Caenorhabditis elegans: one gene and its partners. The protein of the gene in region 1 purifies or fractionates together with the protein of each later gene. This does not show direct contact. Each region holds a gene or a part of one and is shown in the gene's direction. Other genes may lie near its edges.

Region 1 (11,383 bases):
TTTCCGTAAAAGTTCGACAAGTTCTCGTTTGATTTTTCCGATTACCGGAAATCCTTCATAGACGAACGCGGAATAGAGTTGGACCAGACTAGCACCGGCTCTGAAATTTTACATTTAGTTAAATAAATTGAAATTAATACTTTGATTGAATAACGGTGGACTATACGGCCTGTGGGAAAATCAATAAAACCATTCTTACCATATATTGTACTCAAATGGTCAAATATTATAATTCAATTTTTATTTTGAGTCAAAAGGCGTTGAAAACTGTGTTTTTACTTTTCGAAAAATCTATATCACTGTATCATGTTTAAACCTTTAAAATGTTGAAATATGCATATTTTACATAATTAGAACATAAAACTGGAGAATAACATTTTTTTGATCGTCGATTTCCAAAGAAAAATAGGGGAAAACCGATTTTTCACTGCTTTTTGAAACGAAACAAAAAATGTTTCAAATTTTTTTTGAAAAGTTTTATAATAATATTTGGTCATTTTAGCAAGATAGGAATGGTTTTTGATAATTTCCCCACTCGACCTCGAACTGGGAAGTTCACTTACCTAATCTTTTCATATGCATCTGCTCCACTGAACACTCCTCCACAGCCGATAATTGGAATTTGTCCGTTTGTGAGTCTGAAATTAAACTATCAATGCGAACAAAATTAAACCAATTTTTTTTGTTGAAAAATTATCGATTTGAAAAATGATGAAAACTTAACTTACCATATTTGCGCAGTAAAACGAATCAAACTAAATACGCCGCCTGGTTTTCCCAGTGTAACCGGGGTGACAAGTGGCCAAAGAAAACGAAATAACAAGGGGACATGCGGTAAAAATGATGACAATTGTCTATAGTCTAGCCAAGAAGGTTCAACGTTGTGATTTTTTGGTGTTTGGGTTCTTTGATTTATGTTAAAATTTCATAAAGGTTCTAGATTTTCGATTATACACACGCAAAATGGCCGAATTACATAAAGAGACTGCTCAAAAAACAAATTAAAAATTGAACAATTTAATTTTAGCTACAATCTCAAATTTGCTAACTTCACCAAGTCACAGCTTCGGGAGATTATTTGTTCTCAAATTACTAGCTGATTTTGCTCGTTCTAGCTAATTATTAAGTTGTTTTTTGTTGATTTAAATTACTTATACATTTTTTTTCAAACGGGAACCAAACTCGGTTAATTATGTACTGGAAATATAACTAAAGCCACACGGAAAAAATGGAAAATTATCTAATTTCAGTTTTCTCTTCGAAATTTTTGAACGAAACAATGTTCTGATATTTATATCGTATTTGAGTACACGGCGTGTAAATTGGTACCTCTGGCCTAGAAAAAAGCTTGAAAAACAAATGTACGCAATTATGAAAATGCGGTTGGTGTTTGCGGACTTGACTACCATAGTCCACATAAATTTTAGCAATTAATACTTCCCGGTTTCGTTTTATATGAAAATATCCTTGAACTCAAGCAAAAAATGCATTATCTTTTTGGAAAAGAATAAAAGAAACACTAAAATTACATTAAATTCAAATACAAAAAAATATGAACTACGCAGAAAACGAAACAAGGCAGTTTGAAGCTGCATTAAAGAACAGCGCTTTTCAGTGTAAACTTGTGACGGTGGGTATACATTTTATGTACTTAAATTGTTCAAAAACCTTCATTTAGTCAATTGGTGAAGTTTCAAAACCTTTGTGAATCTAGTTTTTGAAAAAATTTCAAATTGGTGCCAATTTCACTGATTTTTTGTGAATTTCCAAGCTAAAATTGAAAAATTCAATGTGAACTTGTGACGGTGGGTATGGTTTTTATGCACATAATTTGTTTGAAATACTCTACCGAGTTAACTGGTGAAGTTTCAAAAACTTTATGGGCCTAGTTTTTGAAAAAAGTTCAAAAATGGGCCATTTTTGTCGATTTTAGTGGTTTTCGGAGCTAAAATAGAAAAATTCAATAGGAACTTGTGACGGTGGGTATGAATTTTTTGCACACAATTTGATTAAAGTAGTCTACTGAGTAATCTGGTGAAATTTCAGAAAATTTGTGGATCTAGTTTTTGAAAAAAGTTCAAAAATGTGCCACTTTTGACGTATTTTCCTAATAATTGCCTAATAAATCGAATTTCCACTTTTATTTAGGAAAATAATCGTTGTTATATGTGATTTATTCATTTTAAAAACAATTTTGTATATATTTTTGTAGTTTTATCCATTATAATGTCTCATTCATCGAATTTCAATGATATTAAAAATTTAAATTCAAATTTCGCGCGCTTTGCAGCGGCCATGGCCTAGGATTCTCACTTTTCAATTTTCGCTAGGCCACATGTCCCAATTTACACGCCGTGAGTAGTTATAAAACTCACTTGTATATTTTTCTGACACATTCCGTACTAATTTCTCTAACCGGCGCTCCGCTCAATCCTCCTGTTTCCGTTTTATTCTCTGATCTGAGATAGTCGGGTCGTGCAATTGTGGTATTCGATACAATAATTCCATCGATCGCAAACTTTTTATTCGTCACAACTTGTGCAATGTCTTTTAATTCTGATTCAATTAGATCCGGAGCAATTTTCAGAAAAACTTGAGGCTGCTTTTCCAGCTTGTGCATTTCAAGCGCTTGGTGTACATAGGCCAACAGCTTCTCCAAATCACTTTTCTTTTGCATACTTCTGAGCCCAGGAGTGTTAGGTGATGATACATTGAGAACCAGATAATCACAATGTGGAGCAAAGTAGTTGACACCAATTTCATAATCCAATCTACAAGAACTGAAATTTAAACGTTTTTGCCTTTTTAACTGACTTTGCGTCTTCCGTAAGTTTATTCTTTCCCAAATTGACTCCAAAATATGCATAACTCTCTGGAACCCATGAATCTCTGGCACTTCGTACTCTTTGATGAACTCTTCCAACTCCATCACTATTAAATCCATATCGATTGATAACTCCTTCATCTTCCAATAACCTAAACACGCGTGGTCTATTATTTCCTGGTTGTGGTATTGGTGTTACAGATCCAATTTCAATGAGTCCAAATCCAGAATTCTTGGCCAATTGTGTAATTGCTTGTCCATCTTTATCAAATCCAGCAGCTAACCCGATAGGATTCTTGAATTCTCGTCCAAAAAGCTCACATTTCAGTTCAGGATATTCTTTTCGATTCCATCCGAAACGTGGCAAAAGTCCCCACGAAGCAGCTCGAACCGCCCATCGATGTGAATCTTCTCCATCGACAAATTTGTGTACCATTGGCATTACTGCCTTTTTGTAGAACGTTTCCGAACCATATAGAAGTTCAAGTGCTGTGTAACTGGCAATTCCTGTCGCGAGTACAATTACTGTCGACTTGCTTATTGCACCAGGTGGAAGTTTGGAGTAGATGTATTTTTGTTCGGCATTTTGACTCATTCTTCAGTAGAAATTCAGGATGATTTATTCAAATCAGCAACAAATTTCTCCAGCTGAAAAAAAAAAATTAAAATGATCAATGTGGCTGAGTTTTCTTTTGGAAGTTTTCACTTTTATAAGTAGAAATACAGGTAAAGTATCTTAAAGTTAAAAAAAAAACTTGCCTGCTCTGAAGTGAAATCCAAAACTTGTGTCTCGCCGTCTTCGTAATGGAGTACAAGTTGAAAGAATGGTTGAAAGAGACTGGGAGAAGAGTCGCAGCTAGCAGACGCCTAAATTATTTGGAAATTTGAATTGATAAGCTCGATAACTAATGGTTGAAGGTTATCTTAGATAACAGGGGAATCTAGTACAAAGTATAATAAACTATTTAAATCAAAATGAAATGTTAAAGAGTAGTGTCGTTTTATTTTAAATTACTTTGAAAAAGTTAAGTTGGGAAATGAAAGATTGGCAGAATCTACATTTTTATGAAAGTTTAGGGCAAAAAAATGGCATGAGAACATCTGAAATGTTTGCAGCATGGTGTCTTGGCGGTGGTTGATGATGATAAAAGTGACAAAAAAGATAAGATGCGATGATGAAGTGTCGAGAGAAGAAATGAATGAAAATCGACGCGATAGATCAGAAATCACATTTTGCTTAAACTGCCGAATTTGTTTTTGAACAAATACAACGTTTTTGAAATGAATATTTTCTTTTTTATTCAGTTTATGTCACCTCAATTTTCATTTTGTGCAACTTTTACACGAAAACTTTTTTTTAAAACTTACTCGAATACTGTAGTCGTATGATTTAAGTTTCTTCTTGATAGTTTGATGGTTTTCCGCTCCTAATGACATACAATCTGAAACTTTAAGAATTTAAAATAAGAAATACTATTTAGTTTGAAGATAAAGAAACAAGTGATTTTTAGACATGAGAACAATTTTAATTTCAAGAGGTTTTTCTTTTTTATTGGAAAAATTAATAATTATACAGTTTTTGCGTATATACTTACAACAAATATTATACAGCTATGGAAACAGATTTTTAGCAAATGAAAACACTTGAAAACACAAGATTTATGTCCAATTTTGAACTAAAACGCTGAAATTTAATTCTAAAATCTTTCGAAACACATTTTTTAATTGAATTTTAAGAGAAAATATTTAGAAAATTGGAGAAAAAACATTATATTTCAATAAAAACTGAAGAAAATAAAGAGAAAAATGAACTGAATTGTGGGCGTGGCCAATTTGCAACATAGTGCGCAGTTTCTTCTTGATTTTTTTTTCGCAGTCGTTATTTTGTTTTCCTCTTCCTTTTATATTCAATAACTATTATTATAATTATCCGGTTATCCATCTGTCTTTAATTTATTTTTTTCAGAATATAAATATGCAAAAGTCAGATGAAGTCACTGAAAAGTTCAAACGATATTGTAATCAACTGGAAAAATACGGCCAAACTGAAAATGTGCATTCTCCAGTGATGGCGATGTTGCGCAGAAAGTATGTTTTATTCTGTAACAAAAACTTAAAATACAACAGCTTGAGTCAGAAACTATGAAATTAATAAACGATCTTTAAGTTTAAAATTTAAAGAATTACAATTTTCAGAGGCCGAAAACAGCTCATTGAGATTATGAAACGCGACGGGGACTGTACAAGTTCAATCAATAAATTGTGGATTGTTGGATATTATCACCCTTTCCAGTTTTTTATTCGAGTAAGATTAACTTTTAGTCATTGTATTATTTTTATTTGATTTCCAAAGGTTCTTATTACAGGATAAGGAGAAAAACATGGCAATAGCCGTGTTGCTGACAATGTTCTGTGGAGAGCTTCAAGAAATGCTTTCGCTTCCCGATGACAAATACCCAGCATTGTGGAACATGTACATTGGAGATTTTCATCGTTATATGCCAGACGAAGAAATTCAGAAATGCTTGGCAGTTGGATATTATTCAAGAGCAATCGATCTAGATCCGAATCAAGGAAGAGCTTTCCACGTTCTCGCTGGTCTCCGAGCTGACCTGAATGTTGCACAGAAGCTGAGACTGATGATTTTAGGACAGCTCGCCGATGCTCCATATAAAAAAGGCACTGAACTCTTGGAATATTTGAAATTTCCACAAAAAGAATCCACTGATAAATTGATGGTAGATTTTGTCATTTGGGCATTGAACGAGAAATCAAAACGAATGGATTATCAGATGACTGGAATCAAAATAGTAAACGAGTTTAAAGCAGAAATCGAACAGAAACTCGAATTCGATTGGTCTCTGATCATGTCAACGTGTCGTTTAGCATCTAAATTGGCAATGAAGAAATTTGGATGTAAGTACCGATTCCAATATCTATAGAAAATTCTTATTCTGCTGTAGGATAACATAATTTTTTCAGTTCAACAATTCTACAATTGCTTCGACACAATTTCAACGCTGTATATTACAATTTATTCACGTACGATTTCATCCAAATGCCTTCTAGCTGAAGCTATCTCATGGATTTCCGATTCAGCCGAAATACTCGGACACTTGGATGAGCAGAAAAATGAGCCACATTTCCAGAAGCTATCGGTTTTCGCCAAAACGGTAAGATTTAGAGATAAGAAAATGTAGAATAGATGTTTCAATTTTAAAATCAAGGGGAATTAATTATAAATATAACTTATTTTCAGAAATGGAACGAGCTCAACGACTTGGTTATGAATCATATCAATTCCGTATTCACATCCATGTCACTCACAATCAATCCATCTATTTCTATGACCAGCTTTCTGCTGAATGGTCCAATATCCGAACCCAATGTTGAATTTTTGAGTCAATTAATCAATTATCTGGTTTCCGTCGAATTCCCACCAATGGAGATAATCCACGATAGAGAAGAATCGGGTCCATTGCTACGACGAATTAATCAATCGGAACAAAAACGTTTGGATATTCAAATAAAGACACAAAATGATGAAGTTAACCGGGAGGATTGGAGACCTGTTTATGTATTGATGGATTATGACGTCATAGTTGACAAAATAAGAATTGCTCTAAAAATTTGGGATATCGATGATTTCATCTGCATTTTGCCATCAACAGTGCTTGATGAACTTGATTATCAGAAAACGAAGAATCGAGCAGTTCGTCCAGTAATTCGGGCATTAATGGAGCTTCAAGCAGAGGGAAAAATTGTGCTAAAGAAATGTGATAACGAGAGAAGCTGCGCGGAGCAATTGGTTCAAAGTGCACGAAGATCTGCAGAAGATCACAAGCATATTGTCGCTTTTCTGTGCAAAAACCCGAGTGAACAGAAAGAAATGGAAGGAGTTACTTTTTACGATATCGATCAGTTCTACATGAAGTATTTGGAGTGATGAAAAGAAAGGGCTCTACACTGAAAAATCTCACGATGGCTGGAATTGGAACCGCTTAAAATCATTGAGATCATATTCTTCGGATTTATTTTTGATTTATTTTACTGGATTCAATTATTTGACAATTTTTTGGTAATAAAATTTTCTAATTAACTCTTTTCAAATCATTTCACAATAGTATTAAATTAATAGTAGTACTATGTTCCATTTCGTTCAAATTGAAAATTCCAAGAGCACTCCCACGTATCTAAACAATTATGAATTCTTTTGCCACCCCCGTAAACCATTTAGAAAATTGCATTTTCATTTCACAATCATACCTTTTCGATTCCTATCAGCCTACTATAAATTGATTTTCATGAAGTAAGTAACATTTTCAATTTTTATGCTCCGCAAATCGAAGCTACACATTCCCTGACTGTGAGTATTCTAGAGTACTGTAAGTCTACTATTTTGCTAAACGTGCGAAAACTTCCAGATACCGAATTAGTTCCAGAACATTCACCCTCACTAAAAACTCTAAAATCACCTTAATTTGAATGTTCCTCTGTGTCCCGTCAGACAGTGTCTAGGGCCGATTCTCAGTCAGATAAATAGCGCTCTTCTTTTAGAAACAGGGTGAGAGGAGATTGTATCACTCTCATATCGAGGTCATTCAAATGAAAAGAGGTATACTTTTGTTGATTGAAATACATTTGTGTAAAGTTGAGATGTTTCGATTTGAAAACTTGAGAAAAAAATCTGGTTTTGTTTACTAATTGCGGCTTTTACAGTTTACCATTTACTGCTGTATTGTCTCGTCATGCCACTTAGACACCCAATTTTCAATTGAAGTAGAAATTATATTTCCTTCTTTTTCCAAATCTCACTAAGATTATATCAACTACGAAATCGATACAAAATATCTACATACAAACTGTTTTTCTGGTGAATTCTACCTTACTCCACTCATCTTTCCAAATTTTCAGTGAATGTTATCATATTTCTAAAACTAGGTATGGGAAAACTGAAAATGTGCCCTGAAAAGCAGTGGTCCCCCAATATTTTTTTAAATTAATGTTGGTTTTCGCAACGTCATAGTTGTCAAATAAGTCGGTTTCAAAACTTGAACAAACATTTTCGATTGACTCACACATAAACGGACACAGTAAAGTCAGAGAAAAGTCACAATTTTGATTTTTTTTTGTTTTTTGTATAACAAATACTGTATAAACACTCAAATATTTAAAAGCTTCTTGCGAAAAATTCCCGCATTTATAGTAGATCAATCCGTTATGGTACATCTTGACATATAGTTCTGGAAAATATTTTTTTAATCGAAAACCTACATTGGCCATCGTTTAACCTTGTTGCCCGCCATCTCTTCCACGTTAAAAGTAGCGTTTTGGTGTTATGCTCAATTAAAAAAATGTCAAAAATTGTAAAAAAAAAAACGAGATCGCATTGTATCTACTTTTGAACGACACTATATGTCAAAAGTTTAAAAAGTACTATTAATCGTGATTCACCATGTACATACTACACTCCATCTTAGTGTATTCCATGTTATCAGTTCAAAACCGTCCAAAAATTGACCAACTTGTCCATCACCCAATACAACGTGGCAGCAGTTTCAGTACACTCCCCCTTGTGTCCTATTTACTATATATACGTTTTTCTGGTTTTCACTCATCTAAACCACTTTCTCCTGCTTTTTGTATTAATATTCCTTATTGCAATGCATTACATTTTTTATTTTTGTCATTAGAAACTATAAATTTAATAATACGAATCCAAAAGAATCATAGGCAATTTTCTAAAAGCAGAAATAAATCATCCAGAATTTCTTAATACTTATTCGTTTTTCATTTAATTCCCTTTATTATTATTCTGGTACTTCTTTATCAAAATTGTAAATTTCCAAATTTTCAGAATGTCTGCTGAACAATTTGTGGGTCGTTGGAAGCTTGTCGAATCCGAGAATTTCGAGGATTACCTGAAAGAAGTTGGGGTTGGTCTTCTTCTTCGTAAAGCCGCGTGTGCTGCAAAACCAACTTTAGAGATCAAAGTGAATGGAAACAAGTGGCATGTCAATCAACTTAGCACCTTCAAGAACACCACATTGGAGTTCACTCTGGGAGTGGTAAGTGAAATTTTGAAAAAAGGAAACGAGAATAGAACTCAACAACTATATGGCTTTTTCGTTAGTTATTTTCTTTCCCATTTAAAAACTTTCAAATGCCTTTCTCGAAACTCTAGCAAACACTGATAAGACTCAAACTAGTGGGTCAAAGTGCAGGAAGGTACACGTGGTTTTCAGTGTAAACAAAAAAATGAGAATAAAGAACAACTGAACTTTGTATCCATTTGAACACTACACACAACAAACGGGTGTTCTATTAACATAGATACACTTTGTGGCATGAAGAAATAATCTAATGTTTATGTCTTTCAGAATAGGTCTATGGAAAATTCAATTGCGAACTCTAAACGAACATTTGAAATCAAAAAAAGAATCATATTAAATCTAACAAAATATTTTTTTTTCGAATTAGTTACGATCTTTAAATGTGTCGGCTACATGAAAAACAACTCCCGGTTTTCATTCCATTAAAGTTCAGTTTTTAAATTGACTGTTATAATTTACCATTTAAAAAAATAGTGTTTTTTAGGAATTCGACGAGACAACACCAGACGGTCGTCAATTCAAGTCAACCATCACAATTGAAGATGGAAAAGTAGTTCATGTTCAAAAAAGGATTAAGGATTCAGATCATGATTCTGTAATCACTCGTTGGTTTGAAGGAGAAAAGCTCATCACAACTCTCCAATCTGGATCAGTTATCTCTCGTCGTGCCTATATTCGTGAATAGATTATTTTGAATATTGTTCTTGTTTTGTTCGGTCTTTGATGCAATAAATAGCGAAAAATAGTGTTTTTGTTTACGCAGAGTGACGTTTTAAAGGACCAGAAACCCTTTTCTTTTCTCTGTCTCTGTTAAAAAAGGCCTTGTTTATTTTCCGTAAAATTTTTCATTAGTTTCAACAATTTTTAAAGAAACACTTTTGTTTTAGATTTTTCTTTTTTTTTAAATTAATTTTATTCTTTATATTGATTAGACTTTCATGACCAAAATTTTGAGAAGAGTCTAGTGAGCTCCTTCCTACTCGCATTTGAAGAAAGTTTTATTATCAGCATTCAGGAAATATAATCTCTGAAAAAAAACATTCCAGAAGGACAAAATGACCACAAAGGAAGGATTTGATTATCGAAAGTTTCTTGTTGATCTCGCCTCCGGAGGCACTGCTGCAGCAATCTCAAAAACTGCCGTTGCTCCAATTGAACGTGTAAAGCTTCTACTTCAAGTCAGTGATGTCTCTGAAACAGTAACTGCCGATAAAAAATATAAAGGAATTATGGATGTTCTTGCTAGAGTGCCAAAAGAACAAGGATATGCAGCATTTTGGAGAGGAAACCTTGCAAATGTGCTTCGATATTTTCCAACGCAAGCGCTGAATTTTGCATTCAAAGACACTTATAAGAAGATGTTTCAAGAAGGAATTGACAAGAATAAAGAATTCTGGAAATTCTTTGCTGGAAATCTCGCTTCTGGTGGAGCAGCTGGTGCAACATCTCTATGCTTCGTGTACCCACTGGATTTTGTGCGTACTCGTCTTGGAGCCGATGTTGGAAAAGGAGTGGATAGAGAGTTTCAAGGTCTAACGGATTGTTTTGTGAAAATTGTGAAATCAGATGGACCAATTGGTCTTTATAGAGGATTTTTTGTTTCAGTACAAGGAATTATAATTTATCGTGCAGCATATTTCGGAATGTTTGATACTGCCAAAACATTGTACTCAACTGACGGGCAAAAACTCAATTTCTTTACGACATGGGCAATTGCTCAAGTTGGAACAGTTGGTTCTGGATATTTATCATATCCATGGGATACAGTACGTCGTCGAATGATGATGCAATCAGGGAGAAAGGATATTCTCTATAAAAACACTTTGGATTGTGTTAGAAAGATTGTGAAGAATGAAGGAATTACTGCATTATACAAAGGAGGTCTTTCAAATGTATTCCGAGCAACTGGAGGTGCTCTTGTGCTCACAATTTATGATGAGATTCAACATTTAATTTAATTACAGAATTAAAGTATGTATATGTTAATTTTGAAACAACATTGCCAATAAATTTTTTTGTTTAAAATGCATTTTTACTTTATTTTAAAAAAAAGAAGATTGTTTAAGTTTCACAATTTGAAAATGGGCTTCTATATATGTACAAGATACTAGTTTTTTACCTCAAAAAAAAATAAATTTAAAAAAAATTAAAACTTAGATATACTTTAATCAAAAACGATATTTTCCTCCTCAGAAATTTCAGAATTTTTTTGATAATATTTTTGTTTTTATTCGACTGAAAATTCCTCACTTTTCCTCTTTTCTATTTTTATTTTTCAAAAATGATGCAACGAATCAAAAAATGAATCATTCTTCAAAAAAAAACGAAACGAAAAATAGAGGAGACAGAAATAGAGAAAACGTTTTGAATCTCCGCCCACTCTTGCCCCCTATCATTCCATTTATCAGACCACCTAAATACGAATGATTTCCCAAGGCATTGCCAT
Region 2 (11,324 bases), 5.6 Mb from region 1:
AAGCGCGCTCCAATGCGAATTTCTTTGGGCGCGAATTTGAAAAAAGTGATGCCGGAACAAGCGATTTCAAGCGTGCATATAAAATCAGGGAAATTTTTTTTTGATTTTTTCACATAGATATTCGGAATTAGGGGAAAATTTGGAGTCAGTTAAAAATATTTAATAGATTTCGGTACTCCACCTTTAAAAATGATTATGAAAGCTATAAAACTGTACAAAAAGTTAATAATTTTTTTTCTGAAGCTCTTTAAAAATTTTCAAAAAAAATTAAATTTTCAAAAGAAAATTTTCAAAAGAAATTTTTCTATTTTTCTAAAAAAAAAATTTTTGTAAAGTTTTTTCACAAATTAAATTTTTTTTTTCTGTAACTCAATTTGTTTAAAAATATTTGAAAAATAAAAATAGTGGAAACAAGAAAACTATGCAGAAAAATTAAATTTAAAGTTTTTTTCAGAATTTTTTAGAGTAAATTTTTTAAATTTTGATTTTATTTTTGAAAATTAGAGAAAATTAAACACGAAAAATAGAAAATTTTAGAGTTTTCCCTAATTAATTTTTCAAAAAGTTAACGCAGAAAAATACTGAAAATTAATCAAAAACTAAAACAAATAATTGAAAAAAAAATTTTTTTTGGGACAATTTTTTTTTCAGACATTACACGGATTTCTGGGTTCCGACAATTCCTTATAAATACAGAAAGATGTGCGCCTTTAAAGGTTACTGTAGTTGTAAAAATTATTTTTTTCCCACGATTTCGGGAAAAAAATTCGCAGAAAGGAAAAGCTCGAAAATACAGTAGTACCCTCTTTAAAGGCGCAGATTGATTTATACCGAAAAATTGTCGTGTCGAGACCCTGTATTTTTGTTCTAAAAAAGTTAAAATTGAAAAAAAGGAAATCCTGTTTTTTTATCTGAAAACTGCCAAAAAAATCAAATTCAAAAATCAAACATTTTAGAGTTTTCCCTAATTAATTTTTCAAAAAGTTAAAGCAGAAAAATACTGAAAATTAATCAAAAACTAAAACAAATATTTGAAAAAAAAAAATTTTTTGGGACAATTTTTTTTTCGGGGATCAGGGGAAATTTTGGAGTCAATCCATCTTTAAATTGCAAAAAATTAAAAATGTCGAGTTTTCAAAAAGATTTTTTTTACTGAAAAAAACCGAAAAAATCGGAATTTAAAAAACTAGGCCACCAAAATTTCACCGCGGCCACCCACGCTCTTACATGAGAATCAAAAAATGCCATATCATGGTGCAATAGCTTCTGAAACAAGTCCGACCGCATTTTCGTCGCCATTCGTTCTCCGAGAACCGTTAAAAATGTGATATAAAGAAATGTGAGAGCAGATTGTGCAACATATAGTGTCATTAAGTGCAGAGCAGATGGCTTGAGCTGTTCAAAATGAGATCGTAAATTGTTCGACTCGTCCTTGATGATTTTCACGATTCCGTTCACCAAATCGCCCAGGCATAGTGGAATTTGAATGTTGATGTAGGCTGAGAGGATGGCGCACTGCAAAAAAAACTGATAATTTTTCTCAATTTTTTAAGGAAAAATTGACTAAAATTAAAATTTTTTTGTTTTTAAAATTTTTTCTGGTGAAATTCCGAAAAAATTACAAGATTTTCGTACAATTTAATGTAGAAATTAAAATTTTTAGCCCCCCAAAATAACTGAAAAACTTCAAATTCCGAGATTTAAAACAAAAATTTTGTAATTTTTTGTAATTTATCCGGACAAAACCGACTTTTAGCCAATTTTTTCTTTAAATGTGGACTCCACTCTGTGGGAAAATTGCTTTAAAACATGCCTATGAGGCCATAATGACCGAATATCATTAATTCGTATGAAATCAATGAAATTTCATAGTTAAATTGGAAAATGGCAACATTTTTGCTTAAAATTTGTAAAAAATCATGTTTTTTGGGCATTTTTGGTGATTTTCTTTCGATTTTTATGATATTTCGGCGGTTTTCACCCAATTTCATTAGAAAAAATTGAAAAAATCTCAGTTTTTGCCTAATTCCTAATTGAATTTCCGCCAATTGGATTCGTTCGTTGGAGCGCACTTGCATTATTTTCATTAATTTTTTAAAATTATTTTTTATTATTTCACTGATTTTCTTCATTATTTGTGCATTTTTATCGGAAAAAAGAACTGAAAAAGCAAGAAAAATACAAAATGTTTGTTAAAAAGTAACTGAAAATGCGTAAAACTGTGATTTTTTGAGTTCTGAGGACGACGAGCCTGAAATTTGTATTATTCATGGAGTTTTAGGTATTTTTAGTCACTTTTTCATAAACATTTTGCATTTTTCTTGTTTATTTCGTTCATATTCCGATCAAAAACCCCTAAAAATGAAGAAAATCAATGAAATAATGATAAAAAAAATAATGCAAGCGCGCTCCACCGAACAAGTTCAATTGGCGGAAATTCAAATAGGAATTAGGGGAAAACTGAGATTTTTTCAATTTTTTCTAATGAAATTGGGTAAAAACCGCCGAAAAATCATAAAAATCGAAAGAAAATCACCAAAAATGCCCAAAAAACATGATTTTTTACAAATTTTAAGCAAAAATGTTGCCATTTTCCAATTTAACTATGAAATTTCATTGATTTCATACGAATTAATGCGGAAATTAAAGTTTTTTTGCTGGAAAATTGACAGGAAACCTGAAATAAAATTAAAAAGCAAGATTTTAGGTGAAAATTGCACAATTTTTTGTAAGTTAACTATAAAAATACGTATTTTTCTCGATTTTTCCCAGTTTTCAACCGGATTTTTATCGAAAAATTCACCACAACTGCAGCGAAAAACCAGCCGAAAAAGGGTTTAATCAAATTCCACAGCTCTCCGGCCGTCATTGACGCATTCTGATCCTCCGTCGTCCTCAAATGGTCGATGCGTTTGCTCAATTTCGGAGCACATGCCGCTTTTCGTAGGGTTACAGCTCCTAAACCGGCTCCAAACCCACAAATTCGCCATGTTTTGAGTATTGTTGTCCTTGAAATCGGTTTGTGAAGCCATGGATAGCTGGAAAAGCTGCAAAAAACGGGAAAATATATGGAAAAATGGAAAATCAGCAGATTTTTGCAGATCTTACCAGTGTTTGCTGCTTTGCACGGCGCTTTTGATGGATATTTGGGATAGTTTAGATAGAATTGACATTAAAAACCAGGAAAAATCAATACAAATCAATAAAAATCAGTTCTTATCAGCGATTTTTTCCGATTTTCCAAGAAAAATAATAATCGAGAAAACATAAACTCCGTGCGGCACACTTGCAAAAACCGTGCGCCCACCTTGCAATGAGGTGTTTTTATCATATTTTTTCATTTTTCGACCGTTTTTCGCAATTTTTTCTAACAAAACCTCATTTTTTGTATGAAAATGTTGAAAAAATATGCATTTTCATGGTTAAATTGTTAAAAATCACACAATTTTCGCTTAAAATCATCTAAAATGATGAAATATTGCTCATTTTAAAAGTTGGGGGGATTTTTCAGTTTGTTTTTCAAATTTGAGCTCAAATTTTAGGCATTTTTACCTTTTTCCGATAAAAAGTGAGCGGAAATTGAAAATTTTCAATTTTAATTGTTGAAATTTCCAAAAATGCACCCGCTTTGTGATTAAATTAACACAGTTCTCATTTTCGAAGGTTTTCCGCCAATTTTCGGCAAAAATGTTGAATTTTTACATGAAAAATCTGCAAAAATAAGTGTAAAAGTGGTAAAAAATTACGAAATATTGCTCATTGTTAGATTTTGCAATTTGAAAAATGCTTTTTTGTACTTTTTTCACCTATTTTACTCGAATACCGACAAATTTCTCATGAATGCTATCGATTTCTCATTCCAAAACCCCTCAAAAACGCACTTTTCTTCCAGTAATGGACGATTCGGACGACGAATATTCGAGAAGCCACGGGGAAACCCTCACATTTGTGGATCCCGAGGACGATGGAGTCTCTATTGGGAACACGCAGGACTCTCAGTTCGCCTATGAGCAGTTTAGTGTGCCTACGCAGAGTTCTCAGGTAGAAAATTGCCGCATTTGTGTCAAAAAATCGAAGGAAAATTCTGGATTTTGCTGAAAAATCAAGTTTTTCACATGATTTTTCAGAGAAATTTGTATTCAAAATCCTTTGAATTGATAGACTTTACACACTGAAAAAAACGATGAAAATCATGAAAAAAAAACCACTCGAAAATGGACAAAACCGATGGAATTTGTGATTTTTATTTTCAATTTTTGTTCGAAAATGAGTATAATCCCGTCAATTTGCAATTTTCAGATGCTTTTTTGCCCACTTTGCCCAATCAATTTTTCGTGCAAATTTCAAGAAAAATCGATCCAAAAGCTCGAAAAAATTAGATTTTTGTGCAAAAATTGCAAAATTTTTTGAATTTGGCCATTTTCGATTAGTTTTTCTTGTAATTTTCAAGAAAACAAACCGTCCAATTTTTTTTGGAGATGTTTTGTGATATAAATTATCTTTTCCAACAATATCAACGATTTTCTAGAAGCTCAACGTTAAAAAAGGTTAGAAAATTAGATTATACTATTACGGGAACACAAAATTCTGAGAATGCGTATTGCACAACATATTTGACGCGCAAAATATCTCGTAGCGAAAACTACAGTAATTCTTTAAATGACTACTGTAGGTCGATTTACGGGCTCGATTTTCATTTTTCCTTCGCCAAAATCGAGATTCCGTAAATCGACACTACAGTAGTCATTTAAAGAATTACTGTAGTTTTCGCTACGAGATATTTTGCGCGTCAAATATGTTGTGTAATACGCATTCTTAGAATTTTGTGTTCCCGTAATAGTATAATCTAATTTTCTAACCTTTCTTAACGTTGAGCTTGCTCTGGAAAAGATAATTTATATCACCAAAAACTTGTTTTAAAAAGAATTTTTCTCATTCCTTACTGTCAGGAATCTTGGAAATTGTGATTTTTTTTTCCAATATTTTTGTTTATCGCAATTTTCAGATGATTTTTGAGCACTTTGCCCACAATTTTTCGTGCTAATTTCAAGAAAATCGACCCAAAAGCGTACAAAAAATTCCAAGAAAATTCCAAAGCAATTTTAAAAATTCGACTCTCAAAAAAAAACACCTATTCCAGGCGACAGATCTTAATTTTAAATAAATTTTTATTCAAAATCCTCTGAAAGTGGAAATTTCAGTGGAAAAAAACCAAGAAAATCATAGAAAAGTCCCTTAAAATCAATTTTTTTTGTCAATTTTTCAAAATTCTCAACAAAAAAAAACCCATATTCCAGGCGACAGATCTGCTGCCAGGAGGAACCGATGGAACCACCAACGATTTGCCATTTCACGACGTGGAAGACGACGAGTCGGACAGTGAAAAATCACTGACAGAAGAGCAGCAGCAGCAGAAGCTGCCGGAGCACGCGTGTCGCTATTGTGGAATCTCTGATCCTCTGTGTGTCGCCAAATGCACAGTCTGCAGGAAATGGTTCTGTAATTCCAATGATGGAACGTCGGGCGGGCATATTGTTCATCATATGGTTCGGAGTCAGCATAAGGAAGCCTACACGCATAAGGATTCACCGTGTGGTGACACTCAATTGGAATGCTATCGTTGTGGTTCGAAAAACGTGTTTAATCTCGGCTTCATCCCCGGAAAAAAGGATCAAGTCGTCGTGATAATCTGTAGAACACCGTGCGCCAGTATTGCATTCCAGAATGATGATAATTGGTCGCCCGAGGACTGGAAATCTGTAATCGCTGAAAAACAGCTGCTATCGTGGATTGTTAATGTGCCCAGCGAGGAGCAGGTGGCCAGAGCTAGGAAAATCACGTTAGTGGAGGAAAATCGATTTTTGAGAAAAATTTTAAAATAATAATTAAAGGAATTTCCAACCAAAAATGCAATTTCCGAGCGATCGAATTTTAACAATTTTTAACTAAATCTCGCCGTCCATCGACTTTAAAATACCTAAATCGAGTTGAAAACGCAAGATAATTAAATTGTATACTCAAAATTTGACGGTGGTTACAAAAAAAAAATAGTTTCCAGCCGCTTTACAAGTCGGTCAAATTTCAAATTTTAACTAATTTTAGGCCATTTTTTGAACCGTCATAACTTGTTTTTTGAGAAGTTTCACTATGAAATTCGGTGTTTTCTGAGTTGAATAAAGCAATTTTAAAAAATTCGACTACACCACCTTTAATATTTCTATAGCTTCGATTTTTTTGTTGATAAAAAATCTATTCCCAGTTTCCAAAAGAAATTGAAAATTGAATTTTTTTTCGAATTTTCGTGCAAAAAATTCTCAATTTCTACCGGCATTGGTGCAAAAAGCCGGAAAAACACAAGTGGTATAGTACTTTTAAATAGCTATATATATATATATATATATATGAAAAACTAAATTTTCCAGTGCTACCCAAGCAGTCCGAATGGAAGAGCTCTGGCGTGATCACCCAGAAGCAACCGTTGACGATTTAAATAAACCGGGACTCGATCGAGAACCGGATCATGTTCAATTAAGATATGTGGATGCTCATCACTATTCGAAAGTGTTCCGTCCATTAGTTGCAATTGAAGCAGAATATGATCGAAGAGTTAAAGAATCAGCATCACAAGCAGTCGGAACTGTTAGATGGGAACAAGGACTTCGTCAATCGGTTCTCGCGTTCTTTCATCTTCCACAATTTGCTGATGGTGTCATGAAGCTTGCGAAAGGCGATGAACTTCGATTGAAACATTCTCAGACGGTTGATGGATCGGAATGGACCAAGATTGGAAGTGTTTTCAAGATTCCTGATAGTAAGGGATGGGAAAAATAAAAATAAAAATTTTGAGTAGTTTTTCTTGGAATTTTCAAGAAATAACTGTCCAAAATTTTTTTTTTGGAGATTTTTCCTGATATAAATTGTATTTTCCAGTAATTTCAACGATTTTCCAGAAGCTGAAAAGGTTAGATATTTAGTTTATACTATTACGGGAACACAAAATTCTGAAAATGCGTATTACACAACATATTTGACGCGCAAAATATCTCGTAGCGAAAACTACAGTAATTCTTTAAATGACTACTGTAGGTCGATTTACGACGCGCTTGATTTTCATTTTCACACGAACGAAAAAGTGAAAATCGAGCCCGTAAATCGACGCTACAGTAGTCATTTAAAGAATTACTGTAGTTTTCGCTACGAGATATTTTGCGCGTCAAATATGTTGTGTAATACGCATTTTCAGAATTTTGTGTTCCCGTAATAGTATAAACTAAATTTCTAACCTTTTGAGCTTCTGGAAAATCGTTGAAATTATGGGAAAGTACAATTTACATCACCAAAAATCTGCAAAAAAAAAAATTTCGGTCGGTTTTTTCTTGAAAATTACAAGAAAAACTACTCGAAAATGACCAAAATCAATTTTTTTTTGAGCTTTTTTAACTTTAAATTCTTCGGAAAAATTTTTTTTCCCGCTTTTGGATCGATTTTTCTTGAAATTAGCACGAAAAATTGGGCAAAGAGCTCAAAAATCATCTGAAAATTGCAAATTTACAACAAAAAAATCACAAATTCCATCGTTTCTGGCCATTTTCGAGTGGTTTTTCTGTGAATTTCAAGAAAAATTGCACAAAAAGCTCCAAAAAATTTCACGTTTACAAATTTGCAGACCACGGCGACGAGGTAGGCATCGAAATCCGCGGAGCTGTCGACAAATCAGTGATGGAGAGTCGGATTATGTTCACCGTCGACGTCGTCTGGAACGCCACCACCTTCGAGCGACAGTACAAGGCTCTTGCGGCGCTGCTCAACGACTCCAAAGCAATATCTCCATATCTCTACCAGAAGCTTCTGGGTCATCCAGCCGAGGAAATGATGCTCAAGTTTGATCTACCGCGTCGGCTATCTGTCGCTGGACTCCCCGAGCTTAATAGCTCCCAGATGCAGGCAGTGAAGCAGGTGCTCACCCGACCTTTAAGCTTGATTCAAGGACCTCCGGGAACTGGAAAAACCGTAGTTTCGGCGACAATCGTCTATCATTTGGTGCAGAAAACCGAGGGAAACGTGCTCGTGTGCTCGCCGAGCAACATCGCCGTCGATCACTTGGCCGAGAAGATTCACAAGACGGGATTGAAGGTTGTGAGGCTTTGTGCGAGATCTCGAGAGCACAGTGAGACTACAGTACCCTACTTGACGCTTCAACATCAGCTAAAAGTGATGGGCGGTGCGGAGCTTCAGAAGCTGATTCAGTTGAAAGATGAAGCCGGGGAGCTCGAGTTTAAGGATGATTTGAGATATATGCAATTGAAAAGAGTCAAAGAGCATGAGCTTCTCGCCGCCGCTGACGTCATCTGTTGTACGTGCTCATCGGCGGCTGATGCGAGATTGTCGAAGATCCGTACGAGAACTGTGCTCATTGATGAGAGCACACAGGCGACAGAGCCCGAGATTTTGGTCTCTATTATGAGAGGAGTCAGGCAATTGGTTTTAGTTGGAGATCACTGTCAACTGGGACCGGTTGTTATATGTAAAAAGGCGGCGATTGCCGGATTGAGCCAATCTTTGTTCGAGAGACTTGTGCTTCTCGGTATTCGACCGTTCCGGCTTCAGGTTGGGTCATTTTCGGGAAAAAACTACTGAAATTCGGCATTTTAAATTGAACTTACTGAAAATTATCACTGAACCTTTAAAAAATCGATTTTCTACAACTCGGACTCTAATTTTTGAAAAATTTTGTTTGAATTTTATGAAGGTTCAGATATTTTCAGAAAGTTTACAAGTTTTCTACGAGATTAAAAAAATCGAACCAAAATTTACTTTGTAATTAAAGGTGGAGTAGCGCCAGTGGGGAAACTGCTTTAAAACATGCCTATAAGGTCACAATGACCGAATATCATGATAAAAAAATTTAAAATGTTTTTCTAAATTTTATATGATTTTTTAAAAATTGAAAAAATCTCAGTTTTTGCCTAATTCCAATTTGAATTACCGCCAATTGGATTTGTTCGATCGAGCGCGCTTGCATTATCTTCATTAATTAATTTTTTTTGTTGTTATTTTCCACCGATTTTTAATGTTTTCAGTGTATTTTTGCTTGAATTTTAGAGAAAAAGTAAAAAAAAAAGCAAATTTTCGATTAAAAAGCATGCTTACAGGCGTAAATCAGTGAGATTAGTTAATTCAGGTTCGAAATCGTTTAAAAGCGTTACTTTTTCATTTTTTACACCTGCGATCGCGTTTTTTAATCGAAAATTTGCATTTATTTTGACTTTTTCTCTAAAATTCAAGCAAAAATACACCGAATACATTGAAAATCGGTGGAAAATAACAAAAAATAAAATAAATAAATTTAAAAACGTGCAAGCGCGCTCCATCGAACAAATCCAATTGGCGGTAATTCAAATAGGAATTAGGCAAAAACTGAGATTTTTTCAATTTTCAAAAAATCAAAAATTTAGAAAACTTTTAAAAATTTTTTTATCATGATATTCGGTCATTATGGCCCCATAGGCACGTTTTAAAGCAATTTCCCCACAGGGTGTAGTCCGCCTTTAAGTGACATTTTCAAGAAAACCGCTGCATATGCTATAAAATCCAATTTCGTGAAATTTTGAGATTTAAAAAATGCAAAAAAAATCGGTTTTTTCTCGAATTTTTGACAAAGTTTGGCTACAAAATGTAGCTGTTTTTCAGTTTTTTAAATGAAAATGTTGGTATTTTTAATTTTTTTTCTAATCAAAAAACTTTTCTAAAATATTGGAAAGATCAGTTTTTCCAGAAATTTTTCCGAGGATTTCAGTAGAAAATTCCATGAAATTCTAATTTTAAACCCATTTTTCAGGTGCAATACCGTATGCATCCAGTGCTCTCAGAGTTCCCGAGCAACGTGTTTTACGATGGAAGTCTCCAGAATGGTGTCACTGAAAGTAGGCAATTTTTTATATAATTTGAATTTTTTAAAGGAAAGAAAATTACCTGAAAACTTGAAATTTCGACTTTTCCGCTTAAAAATTCCCAGAAAAATCCACCAATTTCTTTTTTTTTTCTGACGAAAAATTGTCAAGAAAAATAGAGACACGTCCCAAGATCATAAAATTATGGATTTTTCACCAGAAAATTCCAGAGAAAAAAGCATAAAATCCAATATTTACAGTTTTTCCTGACAAAATCCTGAAAAAAAACCAATTTCCCGCAGAAAGCTAGCTAAAAACTCCAAAGATTTGCTGGAAAATTCGAGAAAAAAGCTCAAATTTTACTAAAAAAAAAAACCCTTTTAATTCAATTATTTTTGCAGACGATCGCCATATGACAGGAGTCGATTGGCATTGGCCTAAACCAAATAAGCCGGCCTTCTTCTGGCATTGCAGTGGATCCGAAGAGCTTTCAGCATCTGGAACCTCATTTCTCAATAGAACAGAAGCCGCGAATGTGGAGAAACTTGTGTCGAAATTGATAAAAGCAGGCGTTCAACCACATCAAATCGGTGTTATTACTCCGTATGAGGGACAACGTAGTTTTATAGTCAATTATATGCATACACAAGGAACTCTCAACTCGAAACTCTATGAAAATGTCGAAATTGCTAGTGTTGACGCTTTTCAGGTGAGAAAAGCGGCTGAAAATTGATTGGAGCTCGAAATTTGTGCAGAAAAATGGAGAAAAAAAGTAATATTATAAAAATAAAGTAAAAAATTCGAAATTTCGAGTTTTTTCAACCATTTAAAAATGCCAAAAAACTTCGAAAGGAATTCAACAAAATTCATTAAAAAAAATAGATTTTTAAGCACATTTTCCGGTTTTTTTTCCTTTTTTTAGAGAAAAAATGGAAATTTTCGTGAAAAAATTTAATTAAATCCGTTAAAAAATATCAAGTTTTCAACTATAAAGAGCAGAAATTTTGCTTCAAAGTTTAAAATTCTCGGAAACCTTGAAAATGTAAAATTTGTCCAGTTATTTTTCATGAAAAAACAGAAATTTTGTCTCGAATTTCAATTTCCGGAGCGCAAATCGGTTCAAAAATTCTTCGAAACCCAAAAAAAAAAAAAATCAAAAGTTTGTCTAAAATAGCTGCTCACTATTTTTATCCATTCATTCAAAAATTTGTTTTTAATGGAAATTAGCTATTTTCCAACAAAAAGTGTTGAAAAAAAACACACACATTTTCTAATTCAGAAATACCTTAAAGGATGACTAACGGTTTTTTTAAGCTAAATTCTCGAATTTTGCCCATTTTTCTGTGTCACATCTGTCCAAAGTTGACTTTTTTTTGGAATTATCATTCTTTATTGTAGATACAAAAAAACGACTGGAAATTTTTATTTGAAAAA
Region 3 (10,864 bases), on another chromosome or scaffold:
CGGACATCATTAACCTTCGTTAGTTGCCAATCGATAGTTTCATCTTCTAAAACATACCGTTTTTTCTGAAATTTCGCATAAATGAGTCATCATGATTCTGCTGGGTTATGAAATGTATTTTTCTAGAAATATTCTACCTCGAACATTTTTTTCAGTACGCCCCTCTATCATAACTTGGCCGTCCCTAGCACGTCACCAGAGCTCTAAATCCTCGCCTTTTCACACCTCCTTTCTGCACACAACGCCTCTGCTGTCGTCGTTGTCGCCTTCAGCGATAACGCCAATAAACGAAAACATCGGTTCAGGAAGAGGACTTCTTCACTTCTCTCCGTCTTGTTAACAACAGACAGTGAGGGTGTTCAGTAGAGCGCAGTGAACCGCGACGCGAGCCCTTGCGATGCGGTCGCTCTTTCCTCTGCCTTATATCTTTTCTTTTTCATCTCTTTCTCCGTCACTTTCGCAATGCGATTGGTTCCTCGGCTGGTTATAGCACAGGAGTGCCGCTGCTCCTTCGCTATCTGTCGTCTGATCCTCCGTCACTGCCCAATTGGCGGGCCCCGCATCTCTCTGCAGCCCTGCTTTCTCCGCCTCGCTCTCCTCACAAAACAACAATTTTGTCGTACTCGATCATCCCGCGTTCTCTATCATTTTGATGTCTTCCACTAATGTTAAATTCATTTATTCCGTTCTCACGTGTTCCCATTACAATTGGCTTTTGCCCATTGAATATTGATTATGATTCACCGAAAATAAGGCAAAAAAAACACAGTTTTATGATTTTTTTTTTCATTTGAAGAGTTTCAGTTACATAATTAGGTTTTTTACCGTATCAACGTTTGCCTAACAATTAAAATATTTTAATTCTCGTTAGAACATAGATTGACCCCTATTGTGAAACATAATTAACAACATTTGTTCTTTGCCTTATCGGAACGGAATGAAATTCCGTATGGTTTGGTGGGAGGTAGAAACGCAAACAGCGAGTTATCGATTTCCTCTTTTTCCTATGAATATTTTTCAGCGCGTGATTGTTGTTCATCTTTCACTTCTTCGTCTAAAATTGAGAATGGACACTTTTTGACACTAGTAACTAATCCGGTCTGGCATTTAGTAACATTGAAAAATAATCCATAAAAACTACACATTTTATTTCTATGTTCTTGTTTTCTTTTCTTAACCTGTTCACGATTGATTTTCCGTCTTTTTTAAAACTTGTGCTTTACATCATTTCATTAACTGTCTCTCCTCCAATTGTGACGTTTTCTTTTTCGTTATAAGATGCTGTTGGAGCAAGGGGCACTTAATCCCTTTTGTCTTGCAATCCTATCAGTTTATACGGAAAGAAGAATCCGCTGAAAAGTATTGACTGTGAGGCAACAGCGTGAGTTTCTGCTCTTCACGCTTTCTCCGACTCGTGCTCCGTTGCTATAGCTGCCCACGTTGTCTTTCTTCTTTCTCTATGCGTTCTTATCATTCAAACTTTTTTATACTTCTAATTTCTTGACCAACAAATAAGTTTTCAGTAGTATGGCTGCTGCCCCACCATCTGCGGATCCGCTTGATAAAGCACTAATCGTCGATGTAGATCAGTGGATTGAGCAGTTATACGAATGTAAACCACTATCGGAGAATCAAGTCAAAACGTTATGCGAAAAGGTTTGTTGATACAGTTTTGTGATTGTCAAAAATTAATTTTTTTAAGGCGAAAGAGATCTTGGAAAAAGAGCCGAATGTGCAAGAAGTCCGGTGCCCTGTGACAGTGTGTGGTGACGTTCACGGTCAATTCCACGATCTGATGGAGCTGTTCAAAATGGGTGGAAAGAGTCCTGACACGAATTACCTTTTCATGGGAGACTACGTCGACCGGGGGTATTATTCCGTCGAAACAGTTAGTCTGCTTGTCTGTTTGAAGGTACAGTTATCACAATATAGTATGGAAATTATTATAACATCTTTAAAAATTCAGATTCGATACAAGGATCGAGTAACACTGCTCCGCGGAAATCACGAGTCGCGACAAATCACTCAGGTAATTAAAATCAATTTATTTCAAAAATTATTATTTTCTTGTTAGGTCTACGGGTTCTATGACGAGTGTTTGAGGAAATATGGAAACTCGAATGTGTGGAAGTACTTCACTGATCTCTTCGACTGTTTCCCACTTACCGCTCTTGTTGATGGTCAAATCTTCTGCCTTCACGGAGGTCTTTCACCGTCTATTGATACTCTTGATCACATCAGAGCTCTTGACCGCATTCAAGAGGTAAGTTATTGTGGAAATCTACCTTTAATAGTTACTAGCCTGAAATATTTCAATAATAGAAAAGTTCTAACATTTTCATCACCGAAAATCATATATTTTTAAAGGTTCCACACGAAGGACCAATGTGCGATCTTCTCTGGTCTGATCCAGATGACAGAGGTGGCTGGGGAATCTCTCCACGTGGAGCAGGATACACATTCGGTCAGGATATCTCGGAGACGTTCAACCATTCCAATGGACTTACTCTAATTTCTCGGGCCCATCAACTTGTCATGGAGGTGAGAAATTATTTCAAATCGATATAATTTTGCAATGATATAAATATGTTTAGGGATACAACTGGAGTCACGATCGTAACGTGGTAACAGTGTTCTCAGCACCAAACTACTGCTATCGTTGTGGAAATCAGGCAGCGATGGTGGAGCTGGACGACGATCTCAAATATTCGTTCTTGCAATTCGACCCTGCCCCTCGAAGAGGAGAACCACATGTTACTCGCAGAACGCCTGACTACTTCCTGTAGATAGATACCTCCGTTCAAATCGCCGTTTTCATTTTCTTTTTTTTCCGTATTATCCCCCTTACCCAATTAATTTCAATACTTTCTCTCACTTTTCCTCTTTTTCATCGTTTCAGTCATTATATAGAATATCGTTGTTTTTGTATCGTTGCCCAACACCATCCTATTTGACAATCCCATCTCTTCTGAAGTTGCTCGAAATGATTGTTGTGTTCTTCATCTATCTTTTTTGTTCCATTCTCTTGTCCTCTACCAAAATTTAGGCGATCAAACCGTGCTTCTCTTCTCAAATGATGCGATGATAGGGATGAAAATTTCATTGTTCATGTAAATTAATGTGGTGGGAAGAGTTTGGCGGAATCATTAGCCATTACTGAAAAAATATCTCCGACATCTCGTGTCAACCTTAGCACTCGGTTCTCTTCCTTCACTCAATGAAGCAATCAATATTCTTTTCAGTCATCCCCGTGTGAGAAAAGTTGCGATCTTCTCCGCGCACGCGCTGTACGGCGTTCGCTTCCAACATTTCTTTACTCTTTTTCTTTTCCTTCCATATTCTTACACTATTTTCCCCTCCATCCCATCCTTTTCACCACTTCCCGTCTTCCTTGTTTCTTATGATTATTATCACAAAATGCGAATGGACAACATCTCTCCCTTTTCCACTATTTTATTCCCCCATTTTGTTTAATTATAATATTATTTTTGCCCCATCAACATTTTGTTTATCATCAATGATCAATAAACTGTGTCCACATCAAAGTTTTGAATTTTCGATTGCAATGTAGAAAGCATAAAACAATACTTGTCTTGGTGAAAGAAAAAACTTTAAATCGAATTATTTTGGTTCCAGAAAATGAGTGAACCAAGTTCATCATGGTGCAATCCAATGGCAGTTTCAACGTTAGGAAGTGGAAATCTTCGTGACGCTCTGAAACTTCCACCAGGGGAAGATAAAAATGAATGGCTCGCCGTAAATAGTAAGTTTTTGCTAAAAAAAACTTTGACATTTTTTTGCACAGCTTGGTAATAATAATTTGTAATAAAACAAAAAATAATTTATAATAAAACAAAAACTGCTAATTGTGATTTTTTTCGAGTTGATCCAATTTTCTCAAAAAATACAAAAAATTGGATAAATTTCCTACAGTAATCTTAAAGGCGCGTACACGAAAACAAATAAACACTGACGCGCGGCGAGACTATTTCTCAATTTTGGTTCTCCCTTTAAAAAAGCGGAAACATACAGTTTCTATAAGTTTTCTTTTTTAATTTTATTTTTGAAAAATTCCAAAAAAAAAGCGCATTTTTTCAGTAATCGATCTGGTAAATCAAGTTCGAATGGTTTTCGGAGTTCTCTGCGAATCCGAATGTACCGATTCAAAGTGTCCATCGATGACAGCACATGGAAGACAATATACTTGGACCAGTGAAGGAACATTGTAAGCTTTTCTAAGTTTTTCCGTAATTCTTGGTTATCAAAATTCAATATTTTGAAAATTCTTAAAATTGCAGAAAACCGTTTCAGTATACATAATCTAACTGTAAAACGTATATAATTGTTTAAAATTTGCTCGGTTTTTTTTTTCAATTTTGCAGCAAAAAATATATATAGTGCACTTTTTCTCAAATTCTATGACTTTGAAGCAACATATTTGACGCGCAAAATATCTCGTAGCGAAAACTACAGTAATTCTTTGAATGACTACTGTAGCGCCTGTGATTTTCGAAATAAAGAATTTAGTTATCGATAGAATATTAAAATTATACAAAAATGAGAAAATAATACGAAGAAACGAGGACAAAAAAATTTATTTCAACAATCGAGCCCGTAAATCGACACATGCGCTACAGTAGTTATCTATAGAATTACTGTAGTTTTCGCTACGAGATATTTTGCGCGTCAAATATGTTGCGCAATACGCATTCTCAAAATTTTGTGCTCCCATAATAAAGAGCCGAATTACTTTATAATTCCCGTTCAAATTTCGTTTTTGTGCTTTCTGACTATATTAATTCGGCTTTTCTTTATTTTTGGATTGTTTTTAACATGGTTTGTCACAGTTTTCCTCACAAGCAGAAAAAAATTTAAATTGAAAAATGAAGAAAAAACCAATTAATTGTTTTCTGGGAAACACCGAAATGTTGAAACTCGAAAACTAAACACATGCCTTTCTAATTTTTTTTTTGTTACAAAATTGGAAAATCTGTAAAAATTCTGGAAAAACATTTTTTGTCATTAAGAGAAAAAAAACCACGTTCACTAGTGCACTACTCCATCTTTAAAAAAGAAGGAAAATTAATTTTGTTTTCGTAAAAACGCAAAAAAACCATTCTCACATTAATCTTCATGTTCCAAAAAAAAAAAATCTATCTCAGACTGAACACAAGTGCTCCTCAATACATTGATCTATCGCTCACTGCATGCCAAAACAATGTCGACGACGAAAACGTGTTCCCATCGGAAATCGGAAAACAATTCCCCACGGACTTTGAGGAACGTTGTCAAGCAATTATGAGGAGACTGTTCAGAATCTATGCTCACGTCTATTTTGCCCATGTCAATCACTTCAAAGCTATCAAGGCCTTGGCACACCTGAACACATCGTTCAAACAGTTCGTTCTATTCGCCAATCAATTCCAACTTCTCAACAAGGAAGAAACTGAACCATTACGGGAAATCATCGAGAATCTCATATCGTTTAGCTAAATAATCTGTTGTTAATAATATTCCCAATTCTGTGATTCCCCTTCTCCTCAGATGTGTAAAACTCTAATAAATTTGCTTTAAATTTTGAACTATACGTGTTTATGAGTTTAAAATAGGTGCTTTTAGGATTAATACACAAAAAGACTGGATTATAAATCATAAGCTTCTGACGTTCATGATATGGTATCAGTTTGGGAAAACTTCAAAAATTCTCTAGTTTCTTTTCTTTTTGTGTGACGAATTGTTGAGAGATGTTCATTAAATTAATTGTTATCCGGTCTTTCAAATTATCAAAAAAAAAAACTTTTCGGCTACATGTAGATAAGGTTTTTAGTTTGAGTACTTTCTCAAATAAGTTAGAACATTTTCCAGCAAAAGGATTTCAAAGAATATTTATTGTTTGTCCACTTGTAATAGGGTGAGCAATAAGTTTTCCGTGTTTTCTCAGTTTTCATCCTTTTCAACTATCTATGTAAAAGTCCCTTTCAGAAGAAACCAAAACTTTCCAAAAAAACATTTTTTTTCTGAAAGTGGATACAACTAAATACGAATAATTTTTCTTGGATAAAGTTGAAAACATTAGCCACAATTCTGCAGAAACCCCAAAATAATTAGCGAGATTTCAAAATTTATATTTCTATTTATTATATTTTGTATCACGAAAACACCAAATTCTGAAAATGCGTATTGTGCAACATACTTGACGCGCAAAATATCTTGTAGCGAAAACTACAGTAACTCTTCAAGTGACTACTGTTCATTAAAAGAATTACCGTAGTTTTCGCTACGAGATATTTTGCGCGTCAAACATGTTGCCTGTACGCATTCTGTACGCATTCTCATAGATGTTTGTTCCCGTAATAGAAAATATTTGAAAAATTATGAACACTGAGAAAATGCGAAAAAGAACTTATTGATCGCCATAGTAGATCCTACTCGATAGAATCGAAATAAGAAGTTTTTTTTTCAAAATCAAATAGTTTTTCGAACAAAATACCACTTAAAGATCAAATGCCACTGTTTGCTCTTTCTCTTTTTCCCGTCTGCATTCTTTTTATTTCGTCTCTTTTTGGATTCCATACCATACCAATTCCACCTTTGAACTTACATTCCTTTTTTCTTTTTGCTTACTTGTCCTATACTAGGGGTTACATATTATATTCGCACTTTTCCTTTTTCGTCTACGGTCTCATCTAAATTCATTCTATTTACCAATTTGTTGTATTGAAAGGTGAAACAGAGTGAGAGAAGAGAGGAGAGAATGAGTGACTCACATTTTTGCCTTTCGACTGTTTTGGATTTATTTGCATACTTCCACGTTTGTACAGATTTCACCTATTTTCTTTTCATTGATTTTCGTATTTGGTAGTTTTGGAAGTTTGCATTAGGGCGTGGTTGCAGTCTAGGTGAATTCTGAAATATAGATTCTACGAAACGGTCATATTACGTCTCCTTCTTATTCTCTTGTGTATGACTTCTTTCCTAGACAGGTACGACTGTAGCCGGACGAGACAGGCCTACCTGCCTACTGCCTGTTTTCAGAACTTTGCCATGAATGTCTGTGTTTCGTGTTTCCATAGTTTAGATTTGCCTATTTCTTATTAACTTGCTGAAATTTAAGAAATATGCTAAAATATGCTAAAAAGTCAGTTTTCATTTATTTTCATAATTTACAGGATGACCTAATATTCTAATAATAACTATTACAAGGTCTTCCGCACCTAATTGTTGCAAGTTATCATTCTTGAAAACTATTGATAAGAGTTGAACTCTGAAGTAAACTATCTTCGAAATTTAAATTTCGCAAACCCCAAAAAAAACATGATTAAGAAGTTCTTTGGCCTATTTTTCAAATTTCAAATCCAGTCTTATCCGTACCACCTTCTGCTTTTTCTTCCCCAATATGAATCTTTGATTGCCTTTCTTTTTCCTCCATACTCCACCAATTTTCCGGTCACTACGGAAACGACCAGACAGCAACAACCTCTCGGCTCTCTTTTCCTGTGTATATTTCCTTCTTAAATCTTATTTTTAGTGTTTTATCCAGATTTAGATTTTTTCAAAAAAGATTATCCCATTTTAAAGATCTTTAGGGGTTTCAAAATTGATTTCAATTTCAGAAAACATAAAATCAAATGTCGAAGAAATCATTAGGGCTTGATGTTCGGCTGGAATTGGAAGGATTGATTTCAAATGATGATACAATCAGATCTGAGAGTAAGTAATCTGAATACACATTTTGATGGAAAAATATGTTGTTTGTATTAATTAACGCATTCAGGTCTACGTGCCTACCTTATGCCTGAGCTGGGTTAAAAACATTCAACTCAACTCAAGTAAAAATCATCTCGAAAACTAGACGAAAATTTTTAAAATTTGGCTTTTGTTCTTGTTTCAGAAAAAATAGATTTCGAGACTTTGGAATTTCTCCGTCATGTACTAAAAGTAATTTGGCACATAGTTAGGTAAACAATTTTATACGGAGTTTTTCTTTCAGATACTAAAGTTCCACAAATGAAGTTTAAGAACTTTCGTGTTATTTTTGGTTTAAAACACTCTGATAACAGTTATCAGTTCGCCAATTTAGAGTCCTAATCAACACATTTTCAATTCAAAAACTAGAGTTTTCATGTATGAAAAAAAAACAAATCATTCAGAAGATGGTCGTCAAGCTTCAATCTTTCGAGTCGCTGAACTAGATGCTCGCACTGAAGCAGACAATCTTCGTTCAATAATCCATCAAAGTGCTCGAGAAGGAAATGTAAACGCTCTTCAAGAAGCTCTGCTGAAAGCTCCATTGGCAGTGAACGCCCAAGATGGTGATTTTATGACACCGCTTCACTATGCAGCGAGATACGGAAACTATGATGCAGTTAAACTATTACTTTCTAAAAATGCTCTACCTAATACAAAAAATCGAGAAGGCGACACTCCGTTGCATATTGCTTCCAAGTATATCTATGGATACAGTGATATTTGCTCAATTATAGATGAGGATCAAGCTGATTCCGCGAGAAAGTACAATACTGCAACCAAGAAGATCATAAATGCCTTAGTTTCTGAAAATGCGTGAGTTTCAACTTTATACTTGTGACTTTGATGATTATCTGATTTCATTTGAAAAATGAGATGGAACTCCTGGGGAAACCCAATTTGTGGCGGAGTTTACATTTAAAATTTTTAAATACAAATATCAATGCTCTGCTTAAGTTTTTTTGTGGACATTTTCCTTTCCAAAAATTGAGCTCAAAATTTGGCAAAAGTACTCATCTTATTATATTATTTTGGAGCATTTCTAACCTCATCCAATATTTTGTGAGCAGTTATAATAAATCTTTAACATTTTAAAATTAGGACCAAACACTTCTCATTTTCGAGTTTTATGTTCGGAATTTTTTCCTTAAAAAATCTAATATCAATTCAAAATTAGGATACTAGTGACATTTTCTCATAGACAAAAATCATAAATAAGTCCGCTTATTTAATGTCCTTATTCAAAACCTTTTTTTATGAAAATCAATCTCTAGATTGCTAGAAAAACCCAATAAGATTCCTGAATGTGAATCGGAGTTTATGTTTGAAATTTTAAATTAAAAAATATTATTGAAAAAAAACGGCTAAAATTTAAGTGAAATCGATCCTGTGAATAAGTACCAATTGACTCCTCTTCACTATGCAGCCATGAAATCCAACTTTTCTGCTCTACACGCTCTCATAAAACTGAAAGCAGATGTGGATGCGGAAGATGATAACAAAATGACACCTCTTCTATTAGCCTGTGTTCATGGAAGCCAAGAAATAATTCAAGAGCTTATTAAAGCAAATAGTAATGTTACGAAAAGAGATCAACGACTCAACACAGTATTTCATATTGTTGCATTGCGGGGTGAGCCGGAATACTTAGAGATGATGATGGATCATGATCCAGTTGAAGCAATCAAGGCATTAAATTTATTTAATAATGAAAAGAAGACACCTTTGAGAATGGCTGTAGAAGGAAATCATCCGGAAACTTTGAAAAAGATTCTGCAGATGGAAAAGAAAAATTCATGTAAATGGATGGATAGGGAGAAGGAATTGATCCATTTTGCCGCTGAAAAGGGATTTTTAGAAGTTTTAAAAGCATTAGTGGAAGCTGGAGGAAACAAGAATGAACTGAATGAAGTTAAAGCAGTGCCACTTCACGTTGCTGCTCAAATGAATCAATTGGAAGTTGTAAGCTATTTAATAGAAGAGGAAAAGGATAATATTGATGTAGTCGATGAACAAGGCTTGACTCCCTTGATGATGGCAGTCACTCATGATAGTAAAAAGTGTGTTGAGTACCTGATTGCAAAAAAAGCAAACTTGACAATCACGGATAAAGATGAACGTACCCCAGTATTCATTGGAGCCAAGTTCAATGCTCTTTCTTCTGTTGAATACATTTTGGACCACCTTAGAAAAAAAAATAAAGAGACTGAAAGAAGTGCTTTAAAGTCACCTACTCGAAATACACTTCGGATTGTGTCTGAAGACGTGAGGAGGACTATGGTCAATATGGTAGATCGAGATCAAAACACTCCAATGCATATTGTTGCTTCAAATGGATATTTGGAAATGATGCAGGTGAGTTGATCGAAAATTATCTCAATTTCAGAAATTTTCCCAACTAGTTTAACTTAACTGTAATTCAATTCCAGTTGCTCCAAAAACACGGAGCATCAATTACTCAAGTGAACGAAGATGAGGAGACTGCATTGCACAGAGCTGCAATTGGGGGTCAAACTGGAGCAGGTCGGAAATATTTTCTTTTCATAGAAATGAATGTTGGAAATTTACAGTAAGACAACTACTTGAATGGGATATTCGACTTTTGTTGATGAAAGATGAAATGGGAAATAGTGCATTGCATTTGGCAGCCAGAAGTGGTACGTTATTATTCCAAGTTGTTTGATGAGAAACCAGGTTGGAAGAATTGCAGTAATGCTTTGAAAAATACTGGAGCTAATGAAAAATATATTTAAATCTTCATAATCAGTACCTCCTGAAAATATTCAATGTAAAAACTATGAATTATACTTAATTTAACTGATTGCAAAATTATGAAAAACTTAGAAAGGATTTGGTATTCTGAGTTTAAAACACGGATAAGTTTTGAAACTGTATTTCTTTTTTTTTCTCTAATTTAACTAAATGACCCACGGTATCTTCTTTCTTTTTTTGTGCTATTAACACTGCTGGAAAAACAAACCAGTGAATTTCAATATTTTTTTAATTGTTAAATTTCCCATAAACAGTCACCACAGTTGACTGCCGTTCTCTGAATTTTTGCGCCAATTGGATCAGTCCAATTGTAGATGGCGTTTCGAAGAGAAAGGACATTTGCATG

The links.
Region 2: the proteins of smg-5 (region 1) and smg-2 purify together in Caenorhabditis elegans (affinity purification with western blotting, with the first as the bait; one study listed by BioGRID). This does not show direct contact.
Region 3: the proteins of smg-5 (region 1) and let-92 purify together in Caenorhabditis elegans (affinity purification with western blotting, with the first as the bait; one study listed by BioGRID). This does not show direct contact.

What each region holds. Positions count from the first base shown.
Region 1 is NC_003279.8:6,729,569-6,740,951, reverse strand, and holds smg-5 (PIN domain-containing protein), read left to right. Parts: upstream 1-4,790; 5' UTR 4,791-4,799; coding exon 4,800-4,912; intron 4,913-5,020; coding exon 5,021-5,129; intron 5,130-5,190; coding exon 5,191-5,740; intron 5,741-5,806; coding exon 5,807-5,997; intron 5,998-6,083; coding exon 6,084-6,770; 3' UTR 6,771-6,923; downstream 6,924-11,383. Other genes in the region: dhod-1 (Dihydroorotate dehydrogenase (quinone), mitochondrial), read right to left, coding at 1-100, 564-638, 2,376-2,771, 2,815-3,419; lbp-5 (Fatty acid-binding protein homolog 5), read left to right, coding at 8,683-8,892, 9,422-9,622; ant-1.2 (ADP/ATP translocase), read left to right, coding at 9,993-10,895.
Region 2 is NC_003279.8:1,172,581-1,183,904, forward strand, and holds the start of smg-2 (Regulator of nonsense transcripts 1), read left to right. Parts: upstream 1-3,892; 5' UTR 3,893-3,894; coding exon 3,895-4,041; intron 4,042-5,297; coding exon 5,298-5,839; intron 5,840-6,422; coding exon 6,423-6,811; intron 6,812-7,666; coding exon 7,667-8,607; intron 8,608-9,838; coding exon 9,839-9,923; intron 9,924-10,291; coding exon 10,292-10,599; intron 10,600-11,324. Other genes in the region: haf-6 (Mitochondrial potassium channel ATP-binding subunit), read right to left, coding at 1,228-1,515, 2,804-3,047, 3,109-3,173. UniProt on the Caenorhabditis elegans protein: RNA-dependent helicase required for nonsense-mediated decay (NMD) of aberrant mRNAs containing premature stop codons and modulates the expression level of normal mRNAs.
Region 3 is NC_003282.8:11,856,919-11,867,782, forward strand, and holds let-92 (Serine/threonine-protein phosphatase 2A catalytic subunit), read left to right. Parts: upstream 1-1,523; 5' UTR 1,524-1,527; coding exon 1,528-1,656; intron 1,657-1,702; coding exon 1,703-1,912; intron 1,913-1,966; coding exon 1,967-2,029; intron 2,030-2,074; coding exon 2,075-2,263; intron 2,264-2,367; coding exon 2,368-2,541; intron 2,542-2,594; coding exon 2,595-2,786; 3' UTR 2,787-3,542; downstream 3,543-10,864. Other genes in the region: mob-1 (Mob1/phocein), read left to right, coding at 3,640-3,763, 4,099-4,225, 5,163-5,493; trpa-1 (Transient receptor potential cation channel subfamily A member 1 homolog), read left to right, coding at 7,629-7,710, 8,151-8,562, 9,123-10,101, 10,176-10,269, 10,317-10,403.